Lepisosteus oculatus: one gene and its partners. The main gene of each other region encodes a partner of the protein of the gene in region 3 in a complex. Links are inferred from orthologs where the notes say so. Each region holds a gene or a part of one and is shown on either strand. Other genes may lie near its edges.

Region 1 (7,380 bases), on a different chromosome or scaffold from region 3:
TATCCCAACTGAAGTAATTTTTTTTTGTATTCTATAACTGTGATGCGCAGAATGGTGAAATACCAGCTTCTATTCCCAAATACTGGTTAGAAAAATCTAAGAAAATTATAAAAAAACCATTAAAGTATGGCAGGCCAATTTTTATTTTTCAGTTTAGTTAATATTTATTAATATACTAAAACATACAAATGTGTAAAACTGTAATAAAAGACAAGATCGTCTTTGCTTTATTTAGATTACTTTATGTTCTATAGGTGATCAACCTAGGCTGTTCATACTGTATGCAATGAGACGTTACTCACCTACAAACCACACAAGCCAAACCCATCTCCATAGCAAAATCATCGGCACTCGTCTCGTCAAAGCTGGACAAATCAGGAATGGGGAGGTCCTTGCTAGTTTGAACTGTGATGGGAGACGATCTATTCTCCTGCTTCTCCAGGCGAGGTTTCTTTGGTGGGTCAATTGCATCAACGGGATCCACTTTAACCTGAAATGACAGAATACAGGTGAAACTGTGGCACGTGTATCATAGGAGCCCCCCAATTTTAATTAACACCCAGCAATAGCAAACTTCCTATTGGGTTTCTACTAAGTAGTAATTATTAAAATATTATTTTTCATATTACAGTATTTATACATGCGAACAATACTGATTTGGGTTTCCTATTGGGTTTCTACTAAGTAGTAATTATTAAAATATTCTTTTTCATATTACAGTATTTATATATGCAAACAATACTGATTTGGGTTAAATTTTTAAATACATTAAGTATAAGAACACAAGGACCTTTGTCCTAAGATGAGTGATGGTTAAAAACATTGTAACCATTAAAAAAGCCACAGAATGTTCAACAACATTGTGTAAATGTGAAACAGTCTACATAAGCTTTGCATGCTAATGATACAACTCATGTATTCCTGCTCAGTTTCACCTTAAGAATGAGATACCTAACCCAAGGTATCTGAAAAACTTCAGATAGTGGTTGTTTAGAAACTAGGACTGGCAAATGCTTGCCATCCTCATGAATGGGAATCTTCCTTTTTTTCCTCGTTTTCCTGACAGTTTACCTTCTCCGATGTTCTTTTCTCACTCTCTTTTTTGCTTTTTTCAGAGCTGCTTGACTTGCCATTGCCACTGCCTGAGGAAGAGGAGCTAGAGGAAGATTTTGTCTCCTGCTTGCTCAAGCTCACTTTCGTAACGGTCACCTTGGAGACCTCCACTTCCTGTTTGGGGAAAGAAAGATTTCACACCACAGGTAGGACACGCCAGTGAAGAACAACAACAAAAAAAATAGAACAGAACAAAATGAGTGAAACTCTTTAAAGACAAGTCTTTGATTACTTTTACTCTTGTAGGCTGAACTGTGTCCAGATTACAGGATTTCCTTTGTAAACAAGGTTCAAACACAAGGCAAAGCCCTTTTTTGTTACATTTTAAAATGTTATTTCTCAAAAAAAAAGCAAGGTCATGGCTCTGCAACAAACTAGTGCATCATGGCTCAAATGTAAGGCCTTACTCATAATTTTCTGCAAAGGGTTACCTTGAGCGTGGTCCGATAGTTTGAATCACTTCCCCTTGCCAAGGATTCATCTAGCAGTGCCTTCAGTTTCTCTGCTGAATCCTTGCTTTTGGAATGCAGGTATCCAAGGCCTTTCAGAAAGATTGGGTCCAGCTCCAGACTTACAGTGGCAGCCATGATCTCTGTCAGCTGTTATGGACATACAACATGAATCTGCAAGGGTCTTGATGCGAGAGTTGCCATCAGTGACAGAGCATACCTTAAGTGTGCAGTCTGAACGTGAAGGAAGGGCCAAAGGCTGATGCATTTCTTTGTCTGTTACTGTTTAACTGACAAAACATTATGCATCATTTAATCTCTTTTCTGGTTCAGAGAGTGGCCACATTTCCCTCAATCCTGTTCAGCTGCTGGAAAACATAAGAAAATGACTGCTTGCATTTAATATTAAATAGTTACTTACTAAATGGACACCTCCACCAAAAGCCTGCACTATATTGTCAGGGATGTATAGGTTTAGCTTTTTCTGCAGATATATTTTTATGACTTGAATCTCATTTTGTCCTATTTTCAGAAAATCAGAGGTCAAATGGAAATTTGTAAAAGTATCTGAATAGTCACTTTGTAGTGTAACAAACGATATTAATCTCTTGGTTCACAGCCATATGAAACATGCTGTTATGCTGTTACAGTCGCACCGAGTAAATTGCCAGTTGGATCGTCCAAATTTTATTAATGAAATGCCCTGTCGTTTATTTCAAAACCTAATACTATTACAGTTAAGTCATGATACTGATATTTTCTATATGAACAAAAATATTCATTGGTATTCCCTTTTATAAATATCTAACAGCCAGTGGTGGTAACGCTTTATATCATAAGGAAAAAAATAAGCATTTTTGATTAATTTATTCGTATGATTTATTCCCTTCAGAACTATTCTGAACGAACTATTTTGTCCAGAATCCGGAACCAGCCGTACAACTACTCCGCAGCACAGGATATACTATTGCTAAAGAAAAACACGTATTACACAATAACAAAATCTTTGAGATTAAATGCCTTTTTTTCCAAATATTACTTCACCTCTCTAGTTTTACACTTCATCACCACTGGTGTAAAAATCTCGGAATGGGAATATTGCTACTAGATTTCCTAATCTGTCATCTGGACGGAAGTACATACATACACCTTGCAACAAACTTATTTCAACTGTAATTTAAACACCTCTTGTTTTTAACGCATTTCCTTTCTTACCTTTGTTTTTCGAAAATAAAAAACAAAAATAAACTGATGCAAACTAACATCTGTTCAATTTATATACCTATACATATATATATAGCTCCGTATATTTACAATTTACGCCGTGAGCATGTCCCTTTCCGATATGATCTATAACCATCCTTCCCCTTTTTGTGTTCGGGGGAAACAAAACATAATATTTGTACCCTATCGGGGAAAAAAACTTTTTTGATCGTTCATAAAACAGTTAATCAGCATTTAAATCATATAATAAAAACAGTTAATTCATTTACGTGCCATTTTTTCCAACTACTTAACGACTATTTAATTTAAGATGACGTTTCCCAACCGTCGGTTAAGGGTGTGAGATGTTACACGGACACGTTTCTTGGTGACACAAGGAAGAAAAGGTTTGAAACAGCGTGACTGTGTGCAAAGAGAACTGTAGCTGCAGAGGCTTGCTGTGAGTAGAGTAAGCTGATTTCGTTTTTGACGCTTGCGAAAACAAACAAGAAAAGCGGTGAATTGAATGGGAGAGATTCAAACAGTAAAATAATAATAAACATCAACAACTTCTTTTAGGCGCAACATGTTTATAAAGCTAGACATGTGTACAAGATCTGTATAATAAAAACCCTACAGAAATACCTCTTGATATGTTTTTACTTTTAAGTTAAATGTTGTAAATGAAACGAAATGTCGTTGTCATTTTAACTATTTTAATTTAATTAAACGTCTGATTTGTTATAGTGTCTTAGGGTCCACTTGGGCTAGAGAGAGAATTTTAGTGCACTTGTCTTGAAAACTGCTTGTTCAGTTACATTTGATGTTGATCGCATTCGCATGAAGGGTGTTGAATCTTTTACTCCTCACCTTTAAAAAATGAAAAATTTGCAGTGAAGTTGAACTAATCTTAACGGTAGCATATTTTCATTGACACGCTGATTTTTCTCTTGGGCAGAACGTATGTGTGGGTCACAGCATGTCTTTCTCTTCTGGGGGCTCTGTAGATTCATCTGCTTTTTATTGCTGCTTCTCATTTGAGTTAAGCTTTTAATAGGAGTCAGATAATCTGGTTTTAGGTCATAGTAAATTTCTAATGTAAAGGCAAAACAACAGACCTGCATACGTTTGTCTGATTTTCTGTAAATCAGTCCTAATCATTAATCTCTGTAATATGGTCAGATTATGAATGCCCCTGCGATAAGTCCACTAACGTGCCCTTTTAAATTTTAGGTGTGTCGTTTCTGAGACCTGGGTGAAACAGTGTAATGACGTTTCCTGTAATGGTCATGACATCTGTTTTGCACTGGTCTGCAGTTGTGCTGATGTTGCAGTTGCTTAACAGAAAGGAGGTGGATTTCTAAAATGGTCTGCTTGATTCCAAACAGTAGATCACGAAGACACACAGAGTCACACAAGACGACTTTGGCTGTTATTTTTTGAATCCTTGTGTCCTGCAATTTGGCTTTCCTAAATTCTGTATTAATTCAACAGGGAAATCAATTTCTCACTTCTATGCCTGATCTGCTGTAGAGTGGCACTGCCACATATCCCAAAATAATAATTAATAATTGCTTACACTTATAAAGTGCTTTTCTGGACACTCCACTCAAAGTGCTTTACAGGTAATGGGGACTCCCCTCCACCACCACCAATGTGCAGCATCCACCTGGATGATGCGACGGCAGCCATAGTGCACCAGAACGCTCACCACACATCAGCTATTAGTGGGAAGGAGAACAAAGTAATGAAGCCAATTCAAAGAGGTGCACCTCTTCAGTTGTGGACTGTGGATCCCCTTCTATATATGAAGCACTTGGGAATCCTTTGTTTTGCAAAGTGCTACTGTATATAAAAGGAAAAACATTCGCTTACTATCACATTGCAATGACTTTTCCTATGCATAGTTTCAAAGATGTTACATATACACTTCTTGAATATTAAATGTTAAACCCTGTGTATGTAGAGTATGTATAGAAAATTATTGAGAATCACACTATCTCGTCATTGAGTCTTACAGATTGAGGCTGTACTCTAAAGGTTTAGCCCATATTTCTACTTTAATAAAGCTAAAAATATAAGTACATAAATGTACCTACAGACTTATTGTGCTGTTATGTGAACATTTAATATTCTTTTCTTTTTACAGAGTATATTGCTGTGCCTCCAATGCAATGAAACACACAAATTCAAAAAGGGGAGAAGAGTGTCTCTACCTGGACATTTCTGACCAGAGTGAAGAGGCCATTCTCCCTCTCCACACGTCCATAACGCTCTTTCTCCTGTCGTACTGTGACTCCAAGTTATTCCGTGTCTTCCTGGTTCCTTCTCGGCCTGACCCGGCGCAGTCATGGAGGCACCGAGTGCCGGGGGGCCTGGCCGCCAGCGTCGTCTCCGAACAGGACCTGCCCGCGCTGGTGAGAAGCTGTTGCCTTCCTGCGGTGCTGGAGGAGGAGGGCAGGTATTGCCGAGCAGGCCTGGCCGTAGTGCTGAGACATATCATTCAGAGGACTTGCGAGGAAGATCCCAGCCGCAAGGATGTAGCGGCCCTGCTGGGCTTCAAAAAGACCTGCCTCAAAGCCTGTGCCGAAGTAAGTCTGTTATCTCATTCTTTTGTTTTCCTTTTGCTTGTTTATTAATGCAGATATGCTAGACTGTATTGTTGACTATCTAATTACTGTAGGTGTATTGCTTGTGATGATAATTTTTTTTACTACTACATTTTTATTAACCATTCCAGCGAAGGTAGTTTCTCATATCACTTCAGCTTATTGTTCATCAATAAATAGGGGAAGAAAAACAGTCCTGATCTTAAGCAGTATGGTATTCACTCATTATACTTCACTGAATCATTTCTGCACGTTCGAAACGAAAAAGTCTTTTTTAACTGAGATGGGGAAAGTGCATTTTACACAACGGGTTTATGTTAAACAAAGATAACTTGCTGAACAAATAGCTCCTGAGAATGACAGTGAACACATATAAGTAGAACAAGTATACCCCATTCGACGCCCATCTCCCCAGAACAAACAAGCACTCAGGTTATATTTGTGAGGTTCACATGGACATGATCTGCTATTATTACCATACTTTTGTTTAGTGGTATGTGCTTTAGAGGGGCATTTGTAGTCTGTTCTGTTTTGTGTGTGACTTTCAGTAGTCATCATATTAAATCATATGATGGAAAATGCAGATAGTGTAATTTATTACATTGCAATGGAAATTGATTTAGTTTATAGGAACAAATGACAGGTCTGTTTTCTGCTACTTGTATGGTGTAGTTATGTTGCATCACCAGGATAAACCTTATATTACTTCTGTCATAGGTAGGGGAGGTCATCAGTGATTATGATAATAGTTTTAAAAGGGGACATGGGGCTGCTGTATCTCTGTCTTGAGGGAAATGTTAGTGAATTCTATTTACTGGAATAACTGTGTTGATTTCTGGCCTAGGTGAGTCAATGGACGCGGCTCTGTGAGCTCAACATCCCCTCAGCTGTGGAGGAATTTCTCAGGCAGCCTGCAGGCCCAGATCCAGAGATACCCGCCGCTATCTTGCGCCTGGAGAAGAAACTGGAAGAGCCCGTTAAGGTCCACAATGACGACAAGATCCGCCGGCAGAAACTGCAGCAGCAGAAGGAAGAGGCAGGCTCTGCCACCCAGCCTGCTTCATTCCGGGAGTCAGTGAACTCGGAAGAGCTGGAGCTGAGGGCTGCCTTGGCCAAGCTGTCTGTGGAGGATACACCTTTGTCAGCCACTAGGGGGCCCTCTAACATCAGGAGAGTCAAGACCACTGAGCTGCCCGCCCTAGAGCATGTGTTTGCAGAGGGGCTGTACTTCACCCTTACAGACCTTGTCCTGCTGCCTTGTTTGCACCACTTTCTGGTAAGGATGCAAATCAGTGAAATTGTGAATAACACAGGCCAGGTGCTATACTTAGTGAAAAAAAGTTGTTTTATTCACAACTTTTTGGAGTCTTTATTGTGGGTGAAAAAAGTACTTGTAGTTTTACATATGGGGGGGGGGGGCTCACCAATGCTATTAATTCAATAAAAATCTTTAATAAAATAATTAAATGTTAGTGGATGTATCTTTAGCTTACACATTAACTTGTATTCAGCTACATTTCAGAACTTACATTCAAATATAATTGTGGAAGTGAAAAAAAAAAGTAGGATTTTTCGAACCTCCCACAGAGTGTCAGGTTGGAACAAAACAGAAATTCAGAATACTCAATACTTTGGGGGAAAAAAAATGATAAAGCCTACAGTGTTTGTGCTGTTGCTGGTTAGTGAAACATGCTGTCAGCCAATATAACATGAACAAAAGCAATGCACACAAAATTCTCTTTCAGAAACAGAACTTTATTTGACCCTTTAGCCTTCTGTGCCCTGTTAATTCAGATGAAGGGAATTAATCATTAACTATGGTCAGTTTTAAAGTACAGTATCAGCCACCTTGCAGGTGTGGAATGCATGAGGTGCACGTTATTAATGTTAAGTCCACTAGAAGTGTTTTTGACTTGTTGGAGAATTGTACCATGTGCTTTAACCATTCACATCTTTAATGTTTTGTAATATTATATTATTATCAGGACATACTGCTATTGTATTCT
Region 2 (7,745 bases), on a different chromosome or scaffold from region 3:
AGACAGCAGCTAGCAAGGGTGTGATTAACAGATCTCACCCTGATGAATAGGAGTCAACACAAAATCACAATGATTTAAACACTGTTGGCACTTGCATTTTAAACCATGTATGGTCAATACATTAACTGTCCCTGACAAATCCGTTAACTCCTAGAAGTGATTCTGAATATCTGAATAAACGTCTCATGCAGCTCTACAAACAAAGTACCACCATCAATAGGCCTTTACCTTCGTTGAAGCTGTCGGGGACATTGGCCACTAGTACGCAGAGGAACCACTCTCCATTGCGAACGTGCAACAGCGCTTCTGCCACGTCTATGATGGGCAACAGCGATGGCAGCTCTGCACGAACATGGGAGGAAAACCACGCTGTCAGAAACAACACCCTAACATGGCGTGTTATTCAATTTTCATCTGTGTTTAGTGAAAATCAGCCCTGTGCTCGTGTAAAATTCCTATTCACTATTAAATTTCTTTCTAAATAAAAGTTATGAGAATAGAGCTGTAAGACAACAGTAATTCACACGTTTTTCCTCATTACAGTTCCTTTCTCAGTGTTTCACTCAGGACACAACAGAGTTGAATAAAATGCACAGGACAGCACTTATTCATCTTTCAGCGTATCAAACATAACATGATTATTAGTGTTCTGGAGTGAAGATCAGAAATTGAATCAAGTACTACCTGCTTGCAAAATACACAGAACATCCGCCACTTCTTCTAGATACACGGGGCTTTCGAAAAGCTCAGAAGACTTTAAGAAAAACTCTCCGTTTGAGTCTGAAACCTACAAGACAAAATCAAATCCCGAGCTGCAAAATGACAAAGGTACATCTGGGGACGTCTGCAGGCTTTCACAACTGCATGTGAACGGGCAAATATTACACTGCAGGAAAATGTAATCCTGTGTGTCTATCTGGAGGTAATATTCACCCTATTTGAGCTGCAACTTATGTTTAATTAGATATTTAAAAGGGTATTTTGTTGGAGATCCAGTTACGAAGAAAAGAAGAGGGTACGTTTATAGATCCTGCAGGGTTTGCTCCTGTGTACCAGCCAGGCCCGCGAGAGAGTCCAACGTCCTACCTTGTTCATTATAGCCAACAATTCGCTGAGTGCCAGCCTGAGTCTTCTAAGAGGATCGCTGTGCTCAAACTCCAGTGTCAGGCCGTGCTGAAGCTGGGATACCAAGATGCTGTCCCCGTTGGCACCACCAGGTTTGTGTCTGTCAGGGAATACACAAACACCAGGTGTCACCGCGCAGTCGGGGTGGGAAATGGGAGAAAAGCATCAGATCAAGACAATCTGGGTAGTCGTACACCGGCCTCTGAAAGGAGACAGCTCGTTCTCTAGCTTACTGTGTTTGCTGTGTGCAATATCAGGATGAATGGTGGCCACCAATGCCATTGGGGGGTGGGTGTAGGGCACCACCCCCATTACCTGAGCTGCTGCTCTTTCCTGGCGTCCTGCTCCAGAGCGTGGAAGTCGACCGACAGCAGCGCGACGATGGAGTTCACCGCTTCCACCCCGGACAGCAGGCGGAGGATGAGCTTCTTGTCCTGGGCCCAGGTGTGGCTCTGGTCGGCGGGGGCACACAGGGCCATCCGGACCAGGCAGGGCAGCAGCAGCCTCAGCTCGGGGTCGCTCAGGGCGGCCAGCCGCGCCACGTCCACCTTCTGCATGGCCTCGAAGGCGTAGGGGCTCACGAACTGCAGACCTGCGCAGTCCGACATCCTGGAGGGCTCCTTCGACCGTGAAAGGGAAAGAAGAGAGGAAAGAGGAAAAAGTGCTGGGTTGGGGAGAGAGAGAAACTCTTTTTTTATATAAAAAAAGACTTGCTTTTCATCACAGGGTCAGTTCAGTGCTGATCGATAACGCTAAATGTTATTTATTTTCTGCATGATTAAGGACGGTTTTCCTGGGGTTTTACAAAGGATTTCTAGTGTTGCAAAGTTGCTGCAGTTGTGATGAGAACCTCTTGGTCAGTCTATAGACGCTAAATGAGACATTTAAACCAGGTGTGGTTAAGGATAACCTGATGTTGATGCTAACCCGCTTTTACAGTATAGTACAATACAGTACGGTATTTTTTAAATAAAAGATATTCATCGATAACCGATAAAATTTGTCAACACTGTCCTGAGGTATAGTTTGGTTTAAAAAACACGATAAAACACAATTTTGTTAGAATACTGACAGAGGAAAAAAAATCGTTTACTGTAAAACTAGGACGTTTGAAGATCATCGTAAAGTTTCGGTGGTTGTAGTTACTCCGGACATTAATATAACGACGCAGAATTTAGAACCGGCAGTTTTAGGAGCTAAGCACACACTTTTCCATTTCTAACTATCCTTTCAATAGGATATGGATATAAATTTAATAAATTTCACTCTCTACATATTTTTGGAATAACTGTGTTTTCAGGAGTGTATCCTGCATATAGTTTTGCAACACTCGCTTCGACTCCTGCTGTACCCGAGTCACCATCGCACAGGTCCGAAAGAGCTAGTAGCTTTATTCCGATCATTTATCAAGCTCTCCGTGTTAATTAAAATTACAGAATTCCACATGTAAACGGTAAGAACCCCCACTCTCATTTGCTTCTTGTTTATTACGCTGCTCCTACGTGCATCTTACCTTACTTAAAATTAGTTTTTTTGTTGTTTCCACGAAGCGGTTGAGGCCTGCAAGCCAACGAGATCCTCGGACTGGCGTGAATCCCCCGTGCCGAGGTCCCGAGGTTTCATAGCCGCCTCATCTCGAAAAACGTTACTGGTTCCACTGTCTAGAAGAGGTACTTTATATCCATATATTTGATTTTTTTTTTTACCTGTCCGTTTTTGCTGTATTCCTTCTCTTCAGTAAGAGTTGTCTTTTTACCGGGTACACAAGAAAACACGCTTTTCATTCATTGGAAATTAACAGCTACTCCAGCACAGTGCTCAAGAGAAAGCGACGAGGGGGAGGCATCGCTGCGTTATTTGCGTTTGCCAGGGGGCGGAAAATACGAAGAAGTCGTAAAACGAGAAGTACAGCGAGCAACACTCTGAGAAGCCAGTACCAGACGTGTGACCCTTTAATTTGGATACTGGGGCTCGGAACAGTAGTGAGTGACAATTAAATGTCGCTATCAATTATGCTGTAAAAACGCAGAATAAAATATATCTGTATCGGTAAAACTCAGTAAAAACACTAGGGCTCAGTCACATAAGGCAATCTATTCTTAGAACCACGCAGCCTATTCATCACTATTTATAAACATCCAAACCTTTAGGAACCACCTGACCTAGCCGATGTGGAAAATAAACGATGTGTAAGCTATTGTACACGCCAAACAGGATGCTACAAATAAAATTGGTAGTAAAAAGTAAAATTGGAGCACAATGAATAAAAGAAGGAAAGAGACAACATCTTAATGTCCGTCTACTGGGTTGAGGTGGGAGGGAGAAGGAATGGTCACGGTGTTGGGTCGCCACTGTCTACCCCCAGTGAAACTAGCCCTGAGCCGTCTTGGGCTAAATGAAGTTAACGGCGATGGGACGAGATCTTCCCACCCAATTCAGGCCGTCCTGCTGTGGCGCCACAGCTGCTTTACCTATATACCCAGGTGTATCGGCGGAGCTGACACCACTCGCAAGGACGCTTGGCGTCTCAGCACGGAGAGGACAAAATGTGCTCTTCCTGTCTGAAATCGTTTTAGAAAATATGTATTTTTATGCAAGGGTGAGCAGACTCACAAGTGGTCTTGCTTCCCGAGTTCCAAGTTATTGATGGACCCCAGGTGCATTTTGCAATGACAATTAATAGCCCCTCTATTTACTTTCAGTCCCTCCAGTGCAGCAGCTGTTAGGAATGAAATTTGAAACCTATTACCAATTTTTTATTTGATATATCGCATCTCGTTTAAAGGGGGATGCAAGGGGGGTAATTTTAACCCTTGCAGTGATGCAAGACCTATGTCAATTACGTACTACAGTATCTAAAACAGTTTTCAAGTTTCATACAACTCTACAGCCATATTCACTGTGGATTTTGGCCAAGTTCACTTTCCACTCTCCAATGGTTTAAATGAATGCGTGTGATCACATTCACACATTAATCAGTGCATATTCAGTGGACTTTGAAGGGTGAAAATCATATTCCACAGAACACAATGTCCAAGAAGTTAGAATGAGACACTGAATAACTGATCCCAGAAAACAGGAGGTTTTCACATTAACAGAAGTCTTGCTTGGAAATGATGACAAGACAAAACAATGGAAACTTTATGAATAAATTATTTTATTTTTCATCCGAAATTGTTTAAAAAGTATGAACTTTTTTCTTGTCTTTTAAATTTCTAACCACAATTTGTACAATTCTCAGCTTCCAGGTCTCTCTGTAGCTTTAGTGTTTCTCCATAAACCCCCCTCAGACTACAATTTGATTGTGGTCATAAAAGCATAAAATTGTCTTTTAACAACATCTGGAAAAAATATATATATCCAAACTAGAATTTTAAGAAAGCACTCCTGATTAAAGCAAATTTAAGACATTTCACAACATTATGCAGATGGTAAACAAAATGACATCAGAAAGTAAAACAACAATAAAAGACTATGATAGGTCCAAGCAATTCAAACTGGACACTGCATTGCCTTACTCACCACAAAAGGTAAGATTTCATGTTCACATTTTGACACCTTATACTGTTCTGAATTCAATTTTCAGCCCTCAGTGGACAACAGATGCAAAAAGATGTCTAGTAGTTATGATAATTTTGCATCTTCAGTGATTCTGTAATGCAACACTTGATACATTTGCCATGATAGAATTTTAAAATAAAATGATAAAATGAGGCAATCGTGAAAACACTTGTCTGAATAAGTCCAAAGATGAGAAATGTACACTTTGACTGATGCATTAGCAATTTCTTGGACCTCCATAGAACCATCGTTCTACAAAGTACATTTGAACATTTGGACCCGGGAAGGAGAGCAAAGCTTCAGGTAGAGAAAAAGGGGTCCAGATTATAACAAAAATGTTTACAGATATGTGATTAACAGTTTTGTTTGCTTCTTTAATTAGGTAGCTGTTGGCGAGAAAAAACTCACATGAATGCCCAAGCAAGACTTAGCAGATGCTTCACCTTCAACACAAGCACCACTTGCAATTTGTAGATAAACATATGAAATGCATACAGAGCAATCAAGATAAGAGGGATCCAACTGTAGTACAATATTAGTCACTGATCTCCATGACAAAGAGTGTAGCTCTGCTAATTTTTTGCAATCTTGCCCTCCATCAATGTCTTTTCAATAAGCTTTTTCAGAATGGAGAAAAGGCTCACTGCTTTTTTTTATATATATACACACGAGTTGTATGGAAATCAGTTTAATACCAAGAGCTGTTCTTTGAAGACTAAAGTTTAAAACTTGGGTCATTCATTGGTACAAACAAAAAGTCAAGCCCACCCAGCATTCAAAATGTTTCCAGTTTGACCTCTTATTGACCCCCTTTTTACCATGAAAAACACAAAAATCAAACATGGCAATTTATGGACTGCAAGTTCCTATTCATGCTCCCTCAAAAAAAAAAAGTCAGTAATGTACACTACAGAACTACTTTACCACCTCAATGTTGCCTTTTTGTTTTTAGGAAATCATACATCCTGCACACCATGATTGAAAATAAAATACATTAAAATCCAATCACACAACATATAGCAGGAAAGTGTATTTCCCATTTATAATGAAGAATGTTGAATTTGGACAAGGCTATGCTGGTGGGTTCATAAAAGCAATAGTCAGGCTTTTATGGATTTCACACTGGGAAAAAAAAACATAAGGATTCAGAAATAACAGTAAAGCAAAAAAATAAAAAATTGATGGGGTCCTATTTTATGAAGTTTGCAAGCTCATACTATGCCTTTTTGAAGACTGAACTATAGATTTAATAAAAAACATGAAAACATAGGCTTTTAAACCAGACCAGACCTGTTAAAATGGTAATCACTTAAAATTTCCACAATGAGAACCTCTGACTAATAACTGCCCAACCAATAGCACCGGGAATCCTAAAGTGAAATCCATGCTTTATGCCAAATCATGATTCTGATGGTCGGTATGCAGATATTAACGCAGATCCGGACACCGTGATGATCCTAACGCGCATTTTGGAGAAACATTAACTGCTACAAAAAAATTAGTTGCCACTTTGCACAACTTTTATACAGTAGAAACAAATAAAATCTGCTGACATCATATTTATTTTATATATATATTTACACACAAATTAAAGTGGCCAACTCTTGACCTTATATCAATGCAAAATACCCTAGCTAATTAAGCCTGTATTGACAAGAGGACTCTACAACATGAATGGAAATTAACAGGGCACTACTCTCCAGGAATTGTTTCTTCTGTAGTAGTTTCCAACCACTAACTTTTTAATGCATGAGAGAATCAATGGGTTCATTAGAACCAGTATACAGGTTTATTTCAGAACAGGGGAAGACTAATAGAAGCTGAACAAAAAGCAGCTAATCTTCCTCTGTGCACACAAACACTGCATATGCCACAGGCTTTTAAAATAATAATTAAAAAGAAATCATTTACACCACACATTTACTTTCACAATGTAATAGAAGTTGGTATGCTATTAATGTGGTCATGGCAAATCAGAAAGGGGGTTATCTTCCGGGATCTGGGGGCTGGACAACCAGATTGTTTAGCTCAGTCCCGAGTGGAAGCCAAGTCCCAGAGCTGTGGGGGAGTGGGATTTTGGACGGTCTGTACCCAGACAGACACCTGCTCCACTCCCGCTGCCCCGCAATCCCATTGCCTGCCACTGGACTGCTTTCTTAAAAGTATCACCCGGGACACCGTACTGCAGTCTTTGAGCGCGGGAGTCAACTACAAGATGTATCCGAGCGTGTACTTTCAGCTGTCGCGGCAAAAACTCCATCCGATTTCCTTGCTAAATTTCACAAAGGCATCCCTCCCCCCCCCCAATAAACACAACCACAGGAGAATTGAGTTGACGCACTTTATTCCTAAAACAGAAGCTGCACCGCCCATAGAGGCACAGCGTTTATATATAATTATTTATATATATTGCCGTTCGGTTTTTGTGTCTAAATGTGTGGTATAAAATACTATATACGACAATGTACCTCTTTTATTTGAATAAACACAGTGAACTTCATTGCTGTACAAGTACTCTGCAGCTACAGCTTAGCTGTAAGTCCCCCCCACACAAAGGCATGGACATTAACCCCCAACCTACTTCATCTGTACATCATGACAATACAAATTTCTGTCCCCCTTACAAAAAATAATACTCTAAAAGCAACCTACTGCAACTTTATTTTTTATGTGTTTTTGTTGTTTTTTAATTAAGACGATTACATATATTTTAGACCAATTGCTTTAAAGCAAGAAGGCAATATAAACCTTCTAGGATTTTTTTAATATATAAAAGAGGTTAAGAAATAAGACAAATTATACATTTAAAAACTTACAATAAATAAGATAGATGCAGGCATTTTCATTTGGATACAATACCATCCAAAGACAGGAATTTCAGGTCTTTACTAAGAAATGAATTAGTTTGTTTCATTTAAGAACATCCCTTTTCTTCCAGTACTTTAGACAGATAAGTGTAACGTGAACAGGCTATCTCCGATGTTACCATAACAAATACCATTTCTGCAGGGAGAGTTGTTCCAGTAATTACTTTGTAATAGATATCCCCATGATCTGCA
Region 3 (6,951 bases):
GGCATTGGCTGATACGCCATTTCATCCCCGACATGCTTATGTTTTGCGTCGCGGAGTAACACAACTGAACGCGGTGGTCAGTTGTCCCACATGCTTTGTTTTGGAAGTGCTAACTTGGAGGTGCTCCTCAATTTTTGTGCTGTTTTCACTAAATCTTCTGCGTTGCCCTAAATATGAGCATTTCTTTCTTTCTTTATTATGAATTTAACATATTTAAACTGTGCTAACATTTTTATTAGGATAATTATTAAATTTGGTAAGGCAGTTGGTTCGGTTTTGAGTGGTCTGCCCCAACCCTATTTTTCCCCATAAGCCCTGTTATTTTTATTGAGCGATCTTGCATAACGCAAGGTTTTACAGGAACGCATCTATCGAGTTATAGCAGACGCCTGTAGTGATTAATTCAACCATTTTCAACAGCTTCTTCCAATTCAGGGTTGCAGGGGAGTAGAAGACTATCCCAGACAGCAACAGGCATATGGCAGGGTACACCCTGGATGGGATGCCAGTCCATTGCAGGGCAGACACACACACCAGAGACCATTTTCTCAGAAGCCAATTAACAAATCGATATGTTTTCGGACTTAGGGAGGAAACTAACGCGAACGTGGAAAGAACTTACAAACTCCATATAAGAGTTTAGCATTCCAGGTCCAGAACCGAACTTAGGGTCCCAGTGGTGTAACCACTCCTCAGATAATGAGTAATATAATACAATATTTAGCCTTTATTCAAGGTGTTGTGCTGCACATTTGCACTCAAATCAATTCACTGTTTATGTAAAAACTCCACAATAAACACTAAGGGACCTCTCAAAATCACAGTTAAAATTATAATATAATTCTAAATGTTTATATCATTAAAAGCATACTGTCATGCAGGAACAAAAGCAAATAATACTGGCTCACTTCTTACCTTGCAGGCCACTTCAACTAATCTAAGTCTGAGACTCTGGCTCTCTGGAAGCTGTGAACCAATGACCAGAAGTGTGTCCAGCAATTGTGCAAGAACCTGGTGTGATTCTGCATTCAATAACACAAAATGTCATAGTTAAAAGCAAGTAAAGTCTAAATATGAACAAGCACTTCAGAAACATGTTCCACAACCTCAGTAAAGTGTCCAGCCCGGCATAGAAATGATCCTTTGAAAAACATTACATGACTCACTTTCATTGTTCAGAGTATTAATGGCATCATCCACTATGCAGTCTGGAGAAAAGCCTTGAGTTCTGGACAGCAACCCAAGAAGAGAGGCAATCTTCAGTCGTACTGAGCTGTCCGTTTCCTTCAGAGCAAAAGGCAAACTCTCAGTTACCGACTGAAAATTGAACGGCAAAAAGAACACTTTTGAACACTTGATAGTATTGGTTTGTATTATTCCTTAACAAAAAGGGATCGTGCTCTGTTCCTCCAGTTAATCATTCCTGCTGATCACAAGAATCTATTGATTTAAGAACAGTCTATTTAAACCCTCATGCATTACCTGTTCTATTCCTGATCAATAATTACTGCAGTCAAATACTACTAAAAATAATAAGAAACGATTATTAATGTTTAAAAAGCACCTCTCCAAAAGCCAAGGATGCTGTGCAGAGTGATAAAGAAAAAGACAAAAAAAGTATAATAAATGGTAAAAGAAAAAAAAATAAACAAGAGCATACATGTTTATACAGACAGAACGTAGGGCAATCAGGCACAAGCTGTGGTAAAAAGGTGAGTTTTGAGTTTTTGGAATTGAAGAGAGTCAAAGAATTTGTCTCTCGTACAGTCCGGGGGATAGTGTGGATGAAATGCCTACTGCAAAACAATCAGTCCTAATCGAAGGATACAGAGGCATGCGTGAGCCCAGGGTCTTCCCTGTTTTGACAATACCTTGTAGTAATATTCCAGGAGGATGCGTACCACCCCCTCCACGCTTTCGGCCTCCACGGGCTGGCGGGCGAACTGAAGGAGGTACTGCAGCGCTTCGGTGGGGCTGCTGGCCTTGCACAGGTCAATATGGAGGGCAGCCGACTTGCTGGGTTTGGTCAACCTTAACTTCTTAGCTGGGATCTCTTCCTGCTGGTGTTGCTGAAACCATTGATTTTATCCGTCATTTGTTTATGGCAGCCCCATTTGTTGAAAAAAGACTTTCAAACCCCGATTTTTATTATTTAATTCTGCAAACAGAATAGCTGAAGATTTTTTTTTGCAATTGCTTTAAGACTTAACGTCGCACGGCTGTAGAACACTGCTGCATAACTATAAAGCAGGTCAAAATCTCTTCAATGAATATGAATAAAAATAAGGGGGTGTATGGACATTAGCTAATACATTCAAACACGACACTGACGCCACAATATCCATTCTAAAGTTTAAAACAAAGTTAACGCATTCTGGTAAAATAAGATGTTTTGACGATCTCTTTTCTTTGTTTAGAGACAGAAATATAAACTGTGGTGGTTACTTTAAAAAATTACATTTAAAATCAACAATTTAAAAAGCGTGCACAATGCCAACTTCAACTTTTATTATTACTTTGAATTGGTACGTGCAAGTTTAATCGTATATAATTGAATGGCAAAACAATGAAAAAAATACGGATGTTAAATAAATGATGAGTTTTAAATAACTCGGTGATAAAATCGTGGATATACAAGGAACATAAGCCTATTTTAATCCACAGGAATTTGCTTCATCGGTACAGGCCGAAGGCTTTCGGGACATTTTCCTGTAACTTCTAACCGTCTGTGAAGCCTTATGATCGCATTGAGCATTTTTGCACGCAGCCGTGTTTGCTCGCAGAGTACTACAAACTATTTAAATATGACGTTCTAGACACATTTGTTTTTCTTTAATAGTCTGTTAGATCTGCTTACCTGGACAACTTTTGAGAATTCTTCATAAACTCGTTTCTTTAAATGCGCTGCCATTGTTTAAAGACAAGATATCGTGGTCAAACTGTAATCAAACGCGTTTTGCTGTACCATCGAGCGTCAAACAAGACTGTCCTACTTTTGTCGCCGTAGTGTAGTTCAATAAGGCTTACTGTATGCTTGATTTAAGTGCAATCACAGGGGAAAAAAAGGCCGAACATATGTTGTCTTTTAAAATAAAATCAGGTTTTTTTTCAAACGTATATTAGATTATGCTACTATAAAAGGTGTAACAATTCGAAACGACATGTGTGAAGATCAGTTTTCGCAGCACAACAATGATATAACATAGGGTAGTTGTTCCTGTCCAGTGGTCTAACAGGCAGTTTTATAGATAAAAATACTTAAAGGATACAACAGTTGTGGATTGCAGTGATTTTGGTCTTTCAAGAATTTTTTGCGAACATGTATAAGGGAGCCCCTATTTTCCAACAGATTTCAAGTTTACAATCAAATCATCACTTTTTTTGTCTTTCATGTGAAATGGAAATCTGCGTGCATGTTGTCAGCAGACAGGTTTGTCAGGACAGGATGTACTGTCTAGATTACCAAATGAGCAGAGTGCAATTGCTAAACTTTGCAAAATATGTATTGGCGCTTCTTCTTTCGTTTCTGTGTTGTAATCCTTCTTGTCCTAAGTAAAAGGGGAAGTATTAGATGGGGACTAAGTGCTGTATTTTTCACTGCATAACATCTTTATAAAAAGCCTGTGCTGCTTGTAGCAAGTTGAGTCTCTGATGCACTCTGCAGAGTGACAGCAGGGCTCCCAATATTGCAGTACTGAAATAAAGACCTTACTCAGGTGAGAACTCTCTATTGTGGCTTCCTTGATAGGTATATTTCCATGACACATGCCTATTCCTTTTTACTATATAAGGAAATGGCACCAAAAAATGCTTAAAATATTAACTGTAAAATCTCTGAAAATGTAATTACTTATAAATACATCTTAAAGCAGTACAGATGTACACAAAGTAATGCAATAAACAAAATCTTAAAATGACATGTAATATTGTGTAAATGTAAAAAGGACTAAAAAATCTTAAATATTGAATAGCTATGGGTAAGGGGAACCAACAACCCTGTAACCTGTGTATATATTTTTATGGTGGTGCTACTGGGTGACATGTCTGACTTCCTTTCCTGGTTAAATAAAGAGGACACAGTGTTATGACATACTTTGGTATAAAAGTAACATTTTAATTATTATACATAAAAACAATAGACCTTACATCTTTCAATTAGGATTTGACATTGATTTGGGATTTAGGAAACTGTATGTTGACACGTGTCACATTTGTTCAGTATTGACATGCTTTTATTTATTCATGATAAACCTCCTCTGCTGGAAAAGTGGGGATCTTTTTGAGTCTTGTTTTGCACAACACAGATGGCAAAAACTTCCAAGTAGGCCATGAGTAGATAAGACATTTTCACCGTATGGTACAGCATAAAGTGCATGAACAAATGTATTCTACTGTGTGGTGACCATGGTTTGAATTTACTGAAATAATAAGAAACTGAAAAAGAAGTCAGACAGTACTTAATGTCAACTAGGAATCAATCACAACTAATGGTGTCAGAATTGAAAGAATATAATACACAATTGTTTTATTAATACAATAAAATGTACAAAATAATCCAGTACAAAAATCACTATATATGAGAATTAATTTACCAAGACTCATACAAAAGTCTGATCAAGCATTCAGACAATACAAAAGAGAACAGCAACAAAGGTAAAAATCATATAACTCAGTAGTCAAACTCATAAGCAGCATCCATACTTTCAAAAGAAAAGTAAATAATTACTGTTGTGAATTAATCTTCCTTAAGCATACTAGTTTGGAATAATAGGTTAATTCTCAAGTGTTACAATGTGAACATGGAATCTATATGGAATCTACAGTCCTTCAAATTAGATGCAAGCCATGTGCTTATCACAATGAGATTTTGAAACAAAATGCTCAGTCCCAAGGTTATCCTGTCGCCGCAGGAAAAGGAAAAGATTCCATCCTTCACTGGACTCTGCAGTTGACTTTCCAGGAATTTCCAGGGACTCTCAAAACATGGCTCAGACAAAAGTCGAGACATAGATGGGGACAAAGTTGGAAGTCTGCTCACTCATGGTTGTAGCTCTGAATATTCAGCGGAGTAGACAAAAGCTCAGCTGATAAGGTGAAATTTACAACTGGGATCTCATCCAAAACCTCACTTGTTGTGGGTCGAAACAGTTTTACATGTAATAATAATTATAATAATTGCTTACACTTATATAGCGCTGTTCTGGACACTCCACTCAAAGCGCTGTACAGGTAATGGGGATCCCCTCCACCACCACCACCAATGTGCAGCATCCACCTGGATGATGCGACGGCAGCCATAGTGCGCCAGAACGCTCACCACACATCAGCTATCAGTGGGGAGGAGAGCAGAGTAATGTAGTCAATTCATAGAGGGGGATTATTAGGAGGATTATTACCATGATTGGTAAGGGCCAATGGGAAATTTGGCCAGGACGCCGGGGTTACAACCCTATTCTTTTTGAGAAACACCCTGGGATTTTTAATGACCACAGGGAGTCAGGACCTCGGTTTTATGTCTCATCCGAAGGACGGCGCCTGTTTACAGTATAGTGTCCCCGTCACTATACTGGGGCATTAGGACCCACATGGACCGCAGGGTGAGCGCCCCCTGCTGGCCCCACTAACACCTCTTCCAGCAGCAACCTTAGTGAGTTGCAGGGTGATATGGCTGCTGACGTAGTCTCTCTCAGTCTGGCAATGGCTTGAAGTGATGAAGTTGGTTCAGTGGCAGGTTGGGCTATGGTGGTCACATTAGTCTTTTTTTCTGCCAAGCGGCCAGAGATGTATAGTACAAGAGAGCAATTCCCTTAAGTCATGTCATCTTGAGCGGTGAGTGGTTGTGACATCTATCAGAGGCACGGATATAGACTCTTCACCAATGGGGGGTGTCAAAATTGACCCAATTTATGACATCCTGGTTTGTATTAAAATGCAAATGCATTCTGTACAGGCGCTAAGCTACCCGGGTCATTTTCTGTTCAAGGCAACAGATCGATTTTCGTACTCTTTCTGAACACATTTATTGTACTCCATTAAAAAAAAAAAAATGACCATTACAACTTACCAGATAAAGACAAGTGGCAACTGACTAAGAGTTTCTGTTGATTTTATTCAAAGGACAAAGAAAAGAATCTTGTAAAAAAATATCTAGTCTTTATGTTTATATACACTCATTTCACAATTAATAATTTGTCACTGATTAAACATAGAACATTAACATAATATAGCTCTACAACAATCATATAGATAACAATCACAGTCAATAGAAAAAAAGTCATTTGTTCCCTTCTATAGAAACTACTTCTTTAAAACAACTCCCTGCAAAAAGAAGAGGTTGTCCAGAACTCGGAGTAGGAGATAAGTCAAAGAAGAGGGAAAAGTAAGCTGTCAATCATCCAAATGTTGAAATCCATGGACTAAGCAAATTGATTTTTTGGTAACATCACATGATGAACCAATAAAGAAATGCAAAAATATGAGTTGACAAATTTCTCCTTGTTACTCAGTCTTGTTTTTGCTTTTTCCTTTTCTGCTAAAATGCTGATCTGGACGTCCAGGGGCAAGTTAAATTTCAGCCACTATCCAGGCTTAACCTGAACAGAAAATGTCGAAGGCCAGACCAACAAGGTGATCTGCAAAAGCAACTCAGGTGCCAAGAATTCATCAAGAGGCTAATATTGAGTGTACCGTTAGCTGGCACTACCACCAAGTGAATATGAATTTGTAGAAGAAGTCGTAGCTTTTGAAACGGAATCCCTTGTCCGCAACGTGCTGCTGGTAACTGATCTTGTAGCCTTTGGCCTCGATGTCCATTTTGACACAGTCCAGCAGGTCCATGGCGGTAGGCGATGCTTTCCAAGGGCCGAACCTCACCACCGATTCTTTATCGGCATCCAGGCTGTTGATGGCGTCGTTGTACCGCGCAGAGTCCTCCTCCGTCCTCAAGACGCT
Region 4 (7,709 bases), on a different chromosome or scaffold from region 3:
TGTTGGGATAAATCACAGCTAAAGAGTAATACATTAAAAATAATAGTTAATAAAAATGTTAGAATACAAAATATCAAGCTTTCATGTTTGCATAGTCCACCCTAATTCATCCAATTTAGGGTCACTGGAGTGAGAGCCTACCCTGGCAAGCAACAGGCACAGGGTGGGATAAATGCTGGATGGATCTCCAGTCCACGGCAGGACATACACACTCACACACTAGGGCTAATATTAACATATCAGTATGTCTTTGGACTAGAGCACCCAGGGAAAACCCATGTGAACACGGGGAGAACATTCAAACTCCACGCAGATAGCACCCAAGGAACTAAACCCAACGCCCCAGCACTGCGAGGTAGAAATTCTAATCACTGCACAATAATGCTGCCCTATTTTGTTATGCATTAATTAAATCACAAAAAAAATGTCAGAGAAATTATTATTATGTTCTACCTAATGCAAACTACCCAATCTCTCCTCTTTTTGTAAACCAATTATGTATGTGATTTGTTTATTGATAAATAAAAGAATTACATAACTACAATATTTCCATCGAGTGACTCCAAACCTGAGCTGTAATTAAATTTAAAATACAGCACTAGAGTGCAAATTACAGCTAATGACTAGTGCAATTGAGTGGTAGTGATTACAATTCTAAACATTAACAAGGAACATAAACAATTTTTAAAGGTCTTGTATTTATAACTTTCATTGTCACTGCCATTAAACAGACTTGATTTGTATTATATTACAATAAAGTAACATCAAGATTTGTGAACAAAATCAAGATCTATCATTACTTAACTAAACAAACAAATGTCTTTATGTGAAACCAAAAATTAGATACAGCTCATTTTACTTGAAACTAACAAAACTATGAGTTTTGACAATGAATGTTGGCCATTTCTTTTAGATTGTTTTTTTCTATACTTCTAACCAAATCTTTGTTCATTCAAGCTCCAGGTTTTTAAAATGTTGATTTCCAAATAAGCATTATAATTATTTTACAAATGCTGACTGTTTTATTTTTTCTCCACTATTTGGATGTCCAGTTGTTTGCGAGGAATTGTAAAGTCTACAAATAAAAAAAACAACTAGATCGCACGCTCCAACAAATCTTCAGGGTCTTTGTTTAGAGTGGTTTGATTTATATAAATATCGCCATAGGAGAAGTGGGCTTTTCAGCCAACCATCAGATCACATTTTATCCTCTCAATCTAACAGCTTTGTAAAATATCTTGGCTTTCCTGAAGAAATCCAACCCTCTTTACTTATTCTCCACAAACAATTCACAAAGGAAAAAGGGAGAACATGCTAGGTCAACTTTATATTTAAAAGATAACACTCACTCAATTTTGAGGATGTTTCTGGGAAATTAAAATTACATAGAACAAGAAGAATATGCCAAATTCCTTTGTAAAACATCACAACATCATCACTTTCAATAGTTGCCCGTCCAATTCAGGGTCACAGTGGCCCTTCCAGAGCCTATCCCTGGAAGCACTGAGCACAAAGCAGGCTACACTCTGGATGGGATGCCAACTCATTGCTGGGCACACACTCCCAGTAAGGCAAGTGTTACAGAAGCCAGTGAACCTACCAGCATGTCTTTGGACCACGGGATGAAGCCGGAGCACCCACAGGAAATCCACGCAAACACAAAAAATCATGTAAACTCCACACAGAGATCATGCCAGGAATTAAAACCCAGGACCCCTGCACTGGGAGGCAAACATGCTATATACTGTGTCACCATGCTGTTCTTTGAAAAACGTTTCACCAATAACATGTGTGAATTTTACTATGAAGACTGTATTTTTATTTTTTTTGTTGATGGTCTTACCTATGTACTAGAGGCAAAGGCAGGAAGTGCAGCGCTGATGTCATGTCAAGCCCACAGTCCAGCATGATGGTTGTAGATTTGAATTTGAGGACATTGCAGGGCAAGGTTGGATGACCAGACAAGCAGTACTACACAAATACAGGATAACACACATCATGTTTTTAAACCATGAGAGGCAATTGCATTTAAAAGTATTTATCAATAAGCTATGTCAGAAAAATGTTTTTTTTTTATGAGCTTCAATTCTTAAATTTAAATCCAACTACTGGGATATTCTTCCTTCTTTATTCACACGACGTTAGTGATGACATACATGATAAAGTTGATTTATTACAGTCCATCAGACAAACTGGAACAGACATCGAACCATTTACAATTGATTACGTAAAAGAAGAACATTTTTTTAAAGCGGTGAACAAATCTTTTCCTGTAAGTACAAAACAAAGTACAGAACAGTAAAATACTAAATTTGCTTGCAAAACATCATGACGTTGAACTGTACTTATTTTCATCGTTCAGCAACACTGTGCTATATAAAAATAATTACTTGCAGACGTGAAGCGCTTTATGAAAGGGACCGACTCCATCTATTAAAGTGCAGCAATTTGATTACACACAATAGATAATGTGAAGAAGTACGAAACTGCTTTGTCATCTGAATTAAAACAATTGCAGAAAGGCCAGATTTAAAATAAACCAAAACTGAATTAAACCAGGACACTAAGCTTAATACGTCAGGTTTTGCGTGCACTAGTCTTTTCCTTAATGCATATACTGTACATTAGTAAAGTGGTAAACATTAGATTATTTCTATTCAACACGTGTCCAGCTTTTGTAAAATGTAACGTGAATTGTCCAAACGAACTTCAGTCACCTTTTCCTGCTAATAACATAAAAAACGTTCCAGTTTCTCTAAAGTTCCCTCATTCAACTGACCCATGCTTATTGCAGCCTGGACTTTGCAACAAGAAATGAAATAACTTAATTGTATACTCACTAGTTTCATCCTGAATTGTTATGTCAGATGACCTAGATGTACAGTATATATTTACAATCCCCACGCCAAATCTTTTGGATTTCAAGAGTCAAAGTTGATAGTTCACTTCAACATACTTCCTGTGGTCACCTCCTCTGGGAGATGTAGTTTATTTTTTAATTTTCACTGCCGGGTAGCTAGAGCAAAGGGTGAAAAGGGAACAGAACGCAGAGCGACGTGTGACGAGTGTTTCTGTCGGCCGCTACTTTGTAGTCCCGCTGGGAGTAGGTCCATGACGTTAACGGGAATTGTAGTTCTCGGTGGAAGCCTGTCGCTTCAGATTGAGAGGGACTCGGTTTTATACTTTGTGAGAAACTACGGTTCCCGACGAACCTCATTCTGCTTTCTGATGTTGATGTCAATATGGCTGCTGTCAGACAGACAAAGGCAAGTCAGTCTAGTCTCTGACTGAAATCAAATTAGAAGGAAAAGGACAGCAAGGGTTTCAAAAAATAACTCGTGTATGTTTTGTTTCGGTGCTAAATTCGCGGGATCACTCTAGGAATTTATTTGTATTCCTGTTATTAAATGGTGTGGTGGACGGAGGCCCAAGATAAACTGATAAAGGTAAGAATTATGTGTCAATATGCAGCGTCTGGATTAGTTTACACTGTTCGAATGATATACAGGTCGAATTTTGATCAGGTGTATTTCAGTTTTAATGAAACGTGTATTGGTTGCTTGTGTACACTGACTCCGATCTGAACATAAAGCCAGGTCTTTTGAAACTGCAAAAGTAAACATGATTAACTATCATAAGTGTTATCAGTGTTATGCTTAGTGGGGGAGTTATCTTCAGATTTTTGTTCGCACAGTATGTGCTTCTCAACACAGAATGTCCTTTGAGAATGCATTGTCAGCTAGATGTTCATCACGATGCCATGTCTATAAAATGCAAACTAATTCATATTTTGGGAAGAATAAGCGACCTGCATTTCTTCTGGATTATCAACTCGAAATGCAGTAGTCCTAAAATGATCCATAATTTACACATTTTTAAAGTGCAGCACGCTAGGTGTTGCAGTGGGTGGATGGTGTTTCTTACTCCAGCAGCCGTAAACATTGTACCCTGGGACGTGTGTTTATTTTGGTGGTGCAAGTATGTGGTAGCTTTTGGGCGGTGTGGGCGTTTTGGTGGTCTTGAAGTATAATGACGTAACTCATTTCTGAATGTGTGACGTCTGACCGAGCGGAGGTGTATGACCTGTAGTAGCAAATACTAACTCCCTAACGATTATCATTCATGTTCATCATCGTCCTAATAGTGTCAAGTATATTTAGTCTGACCTTGTTTATTGAATCAACACATTCTTTCTCAGTAATATATGTTCAAATTAATTGCTATAGATCAAGGGAATATTGAGTGGGCTGTTCTACATAATGCATCGTTTAGATGCATCAAAAACAGAAGAAAATTAAAGTTGTCTGTTTGAAATGAATTGGAATGAATCAGTTTTTGACTCGTTTTGACTCTTACATATCATTGTGACCTTATGATAATTGCTCTGTACAGTACAAATTAGAAATAAATCTCAATGCATAGTGTGTACAGAATGGAGCAGTCATTGTACCTTTAGCAAACAATGTTGTGTTGTCTAAAATACAACAGTAAGTGAAGAATCCTTCACTGATAACTGCGAAATCCACAGTTCTGGACGTTTTGACATATGTGAGTGTTGCTAATTCTGTTTTGTTGTTTCTCTTTGTAGAACACTGTGAAAACTTTTTGTGTTCAATAATTTCCAGAGGTGTACTGGAGTTAGACTCTAAGATCAGAAAATAATGCAGTTAATGTTAGACCTGTTCAGAGATAAAGAGAATCGCACCATTTTACCTCAGTGTGGATTTGCATTTGTATCTTGAAGAAAAATCAGCATGTCTAGTCAGCCTTTCCTTTAAATGGCTGTCTGCCAAAGTGAGTCACGGGCCGTATGCTCCACTTGTAAACGTGAACTTCTACAGGTATCCAGGCTGTAACTTGCCCCCATTTGGAGAACAGGTGGTGGAAAAAGGGCATGTTTGAAGACACTAACCCACCTTGATCTGAAATTATGATATCACATCTGTCTTGACCAATTGTGTGGTGCCATTAACAAATTGGTGCTGCGTCACTTCCCAAACTGACTGGCAGCAGTGTGTGACTTACTTCTTTTAGGTGAACTGTCATTGCATTTTGTCATCGTTTACCCTCTGTGATCTGGTCTGTGTCCTGACTTGAATTTAACTAACATATCTTCAGATATCGATGGGCAATTTCATAGGCACTGTCTATGCTTACTTTAATGCTTGTTGGATCATGTCACAAATGGGTTTCATGGGATTATATTACTCTTTACCAAGGCCATAATAAAGAACTGTTCTCCTCAAAAATTACAGCATAGCGTTCTTTGCCGAAGTACATGGGTACTATTCTTAGCCAGCAGATCCCCTTACAGAAAATAAGGTGAACATTGCAAGACGTTACTTTAGTAGTTACAATACCATCAAAGCCTAAACTAGAATTCGTCAAGGCTTGGAAACTTCTTTGAAACTTGGGCTTTTAACCCAATAAATCTCAAAGCACTTTACATACAGGAGAAGACCCACTTCTTCTACCTGTGTAGCACAGTGCCCACCTAGGCAGCAATCATGTGCCAGCAGCTCCACTATACAGCAGTTCAGGGATTGAGTTGAGAAACAGCCTCACCAATTCAGTTTAGAGGAAAATTTAGGAAAGCCAGACTGTACGTGATCAAAGTCTACTTTAGACAACATTCCTACCTTTTCTAAAAATGTCATAGGATCTTTGGTTTTTGTCAGGACTTCTATTTCAAGTATCTGAATGTCAGCAAATCCTAGAGCACAGTTGTAACAGGTCCCCATACGGGGACATTGGTTTGGAAATTCTGGCCCAGAGGGAAAAGTGCGATCTATTCCTTCACCAATTCCACTTACAACAGCAGTCTGGTTTTCTTTGGGGTTTCCTATGAACAGGCTCAAACTGCATAGCTTCATATATCTGCCTAGAAGGCGACAATGCTGCTCCTTCAAGATAACAAGGGCCCTTACTTTATCAAATGGCATTATGTGAACATCCAGCCATAGAAGTCAAACCTTTGCTTTAAATTCCAGCAGTGGCACATGCATTACAACTCATTTTACAGACCCAACTGCTGTACTTGAGTACTATCTTCCAGGAGCAACCTGATTTTCCTCAGAACCCCCTCACCCAAGTATTGATCAGGCTCAGCTTTGTTGAGTTGAGATGTGGTGAGATCAGCTCTGATTTTTCTCTTCAGTAGTTCTTTGATGATCGTCTGGGGTGTTGCAGTCTGCTGACAGTGGTAAATGACGATTGTCTGCCAGTGTATGAACAATAAGCAAGATAGCTGTGTTGTGTTTTTGGACCCCTGCTTGTTGGAGGCAGTTACTATAAGCGCACATGACTGCAGCACATACTGCAGCTGCATTTCACAGAGGATGTTTATGTTTTTTGTTCCCTGAGAAGTCTAGATTCATCACTGTAATTATCTTTTATATTCCCCGGGAACTTTGCCAGTGTATTAACTTTCCCCATTGTATCTCATCACCTTTCCGTCAGTGCTTATCGCCGTCCTCTTGTTGGATATGCGTAACCCTCCTTTGGGTACCATGCAAAGTCCATACTAATGGATTTTGTAAATCAAATAAAGCGATGAAATAAACTGATCTATAATTATTAGAACATTTTCCATTTTGTGTGCATGTGTGGTGGAGGTGTCCCATGTGGATATTGCGATGGATGACTTCGGCAAATGCCTTCAACCCACTTCTGTGCACAAATTGCTAGCCTAATCTCTTAATATTGGTTTATTTTGAATTCTGTATTAAAAGTTCCTCAACCTCAGGAATGAATCAATATAATGTGTTTGTGTGTTCATTTACCGTATACTTAAAATATCTCAAAATACCACTTTGGTTTCCATAAAGTGAATTTTATTCATTTGACACCCTGTCCGCATTAATGAAAACAATATCTTTATTTCATAGCTTCAGCAAGGGTAAGATCATTATGTTTAAGGTGACTGTGTTTTGTGCCTGTTTATTGTATTTTGAAGGTAGTTTAAGGTTTCAAATCATAAAATTGCCTCATAATATGAAATTTGTTGATTTCCTCTCAATAATATCGATTTTAAGAAGCCAGACCACATTGTGCTTTCTGTTTCATGTTGTGTGCTGTTTTGAGTTTATGGTGGTAAAAAAAATGGTACGGTACTCCATTAGAAGTGAAATAGCCTCTAATCTTTCATGAAAAGGATTTTGTATAAGTAAATGTAAACATCAGCATTGTTGTTGAATGAAAGTGTTTCCTTGGTTACAGGAATTCTCTTGCAATAACTTACAATAAGTACAATCTTCTACAGTCTGAACTGTAAGATGAGCAATTCCGAAAGAGATTCACAATATGTTTTTCATAATAAGTAAGATCAAGTTCAGAAGAAATTATATTTTTATTTCAAATAAATAAACAAACTTCATGTCCTGTGAGCAGAGAGTCACAATTTTTAGAAACATAGTTTAGCAGAAAACACAAGGCCATGTCAGTATAAATTTAATGTTCAAAGATACAAGCAGAACTGAGGTCTATGGGTATTTTTGGTCTAATTGTGTTTTTCAGTTACAATCTATCTTTATAGTTCTTGCCCCTGCAACCAGAGTATAGGGGAGAAAGAGGCAGCCACCTACCTCATTCGGCTAAAGTCCAGGGAAACAATTTTTAAGAGTAGCTCCTGGAGAAACAACACACAGACACATGCTAAAAAACAAACTCTGCATGGACAGGTACTTGAGGCAGAAATAAAACCCAAGATC

What was found.
Region 1: ints4 (region 3) and ints12 share a complex: the UniProt entries of both Homo sapiens proteins name them as parts of the integrator complex. The link is inferred for Lepisosteus oculatus from reciprocal best matches to the Homo sapiens genes INTS4 and INTS12.
Region 2: ints4 (region 3) and ints2 share a complex: the UniProt entries of both Homo sapiens proteins name them as parts of the integrator complex. The link is inferred for Lepisosteus oculatus from reciprocal best matches to the Homo sapiens genes INTS4 and INTS2.
Region 4: the proteins of ints4 (region 3) and ints9 are in contact, whole or in part, in a cryo-EM structure (PDB 8RC4), measured with the Homo sapiens proteins. The link is inferred for Lepisosteus oculatus from reciprocal best matches to the Homo sapiens genes INTS4 and INTS9. Residues at the interface, in NP_291025.3 of Homo sapiens: Leu53, Gln54, Leu57, Gln58, Arg61, Lys62, Pro86, Ser87, Leu90, Lys91, Ser94, Gln125, Gln129, Asp132, His164, Gln207, Asp208, Pro209, Arg210, Arg212, Asp244, Tyr245, Glu246, Gln247, Trp296, Phe837, Gly840, Leu841, Val842, Val843; in NP_060720.2 of Homo sapiens: Lys2, Tyr4, Lys18, Ser21, Thr22, Leu43, Val44, Gln45, Glu87, Glu89, Leu90, Asp92, Asp97, Thr122, Glu145, Arg146, Val147, Pro148, Lys159, Glu174, Ser176, Thr177, Ser192, Gln195, Phe206, Gly207, Ile379, His380, Ser384, Asn385.

Annotation. Positions count from the first base shown.
Region 1 is NC_090696.1:65,283,799-65,291,178, forward strand, and holds the start of ints12 (integrator complex subunit 12), read right to left. Parts: upstream 3,001-7,380; 5' UTR 2,778-3,000; intron 1,931-2,777; exon of another isoform or gene 1,928-1,930; 5' UTR 1,701-1,927; coding exon 1,545-1,700; intron 1,228-1,544; coding exon 1,072-1,227; intron 491-1,071; coding exon 303-490; intron 1-302. Other genes in the region: gstcd (glutathione S-transferase C-terminal domain-containing protein), read left to right, coding at 4,940-5,356, 6,219-6,650. UniProt on the Homo sapiens protein: Component of the integrator complex, a multiprotein complex that terminates RNA polymerase II (Pol II) transcription in the promoter-proximal region of genes.
Region 2 is NC_090721.1:4,667,017-4,674,761, forward strand, and holds the start of ints2 (integrator complex subunit 2), read right to left. Parts: upstream 3,005-7,745; 5' UTR 2,910-3,004; coding exon 2,832-2,909; exon of another isoform or gene 2,639-2,831; intron 1,790-2,638; exon of another isoform or gene 1,746-1,789; coding exon 1,441-1,745; intron 1,226-1,440; coding exon 1,087-1,225; intron 788-1,086; coding exon 685-787; intron 343-684; coding exon 229-342; intron 1-228. UniProt on the Homo sapiens protein: Component of the integrator complex, a multiprotein complex that terminates RNA polymerase II (Pol II) transcription in the promoter-proximal region of genes.
Region 3 is NC_090700.1:9,867,364-9,874,314, reverse strand, and holds the start of ints4 (integrator complex subunit 4), read right to left. Parts: upstream 3,010-6,951; 5' UTR 2,912-3,009; coding exon 2,858-2,911; intron 2,070-2,857; coding exon 1,872-2,069; intron 1,285-1,871; coding exon 1,167-1,284; intron 1,023-1,166; coding exon 916-1,022; intron 1-915. Other genes in the region: BTB/POZ domain-containing protein KCTD14, read right to left, coding at 6,700-6,951. UniProt on the Homo sapiens protein: Component of the integrator complex, a multiprotein complex that terminates RNA polymerase II (Pol II) transcription in the promoter-proximal region of genes.
Region 4 is NC_090697.1:60,385,641-60,393,349, reverse strand, and holds the start of ints9 (integrator complex subunit 9), read right to left. Parts: upstream 3,021-7,709; 5' UTR 2,850-3,020; coding exon 2,841-2,849; intron 1,972-2,840; coding exon 1,844-1,971; intron 1-1,843. UniProt on the Homo sapiens protein: Component of the integrator complex, a multiprotein complex that terminates RNA polymerase II (Pol II) transcription in the promoter-proximal region of genes.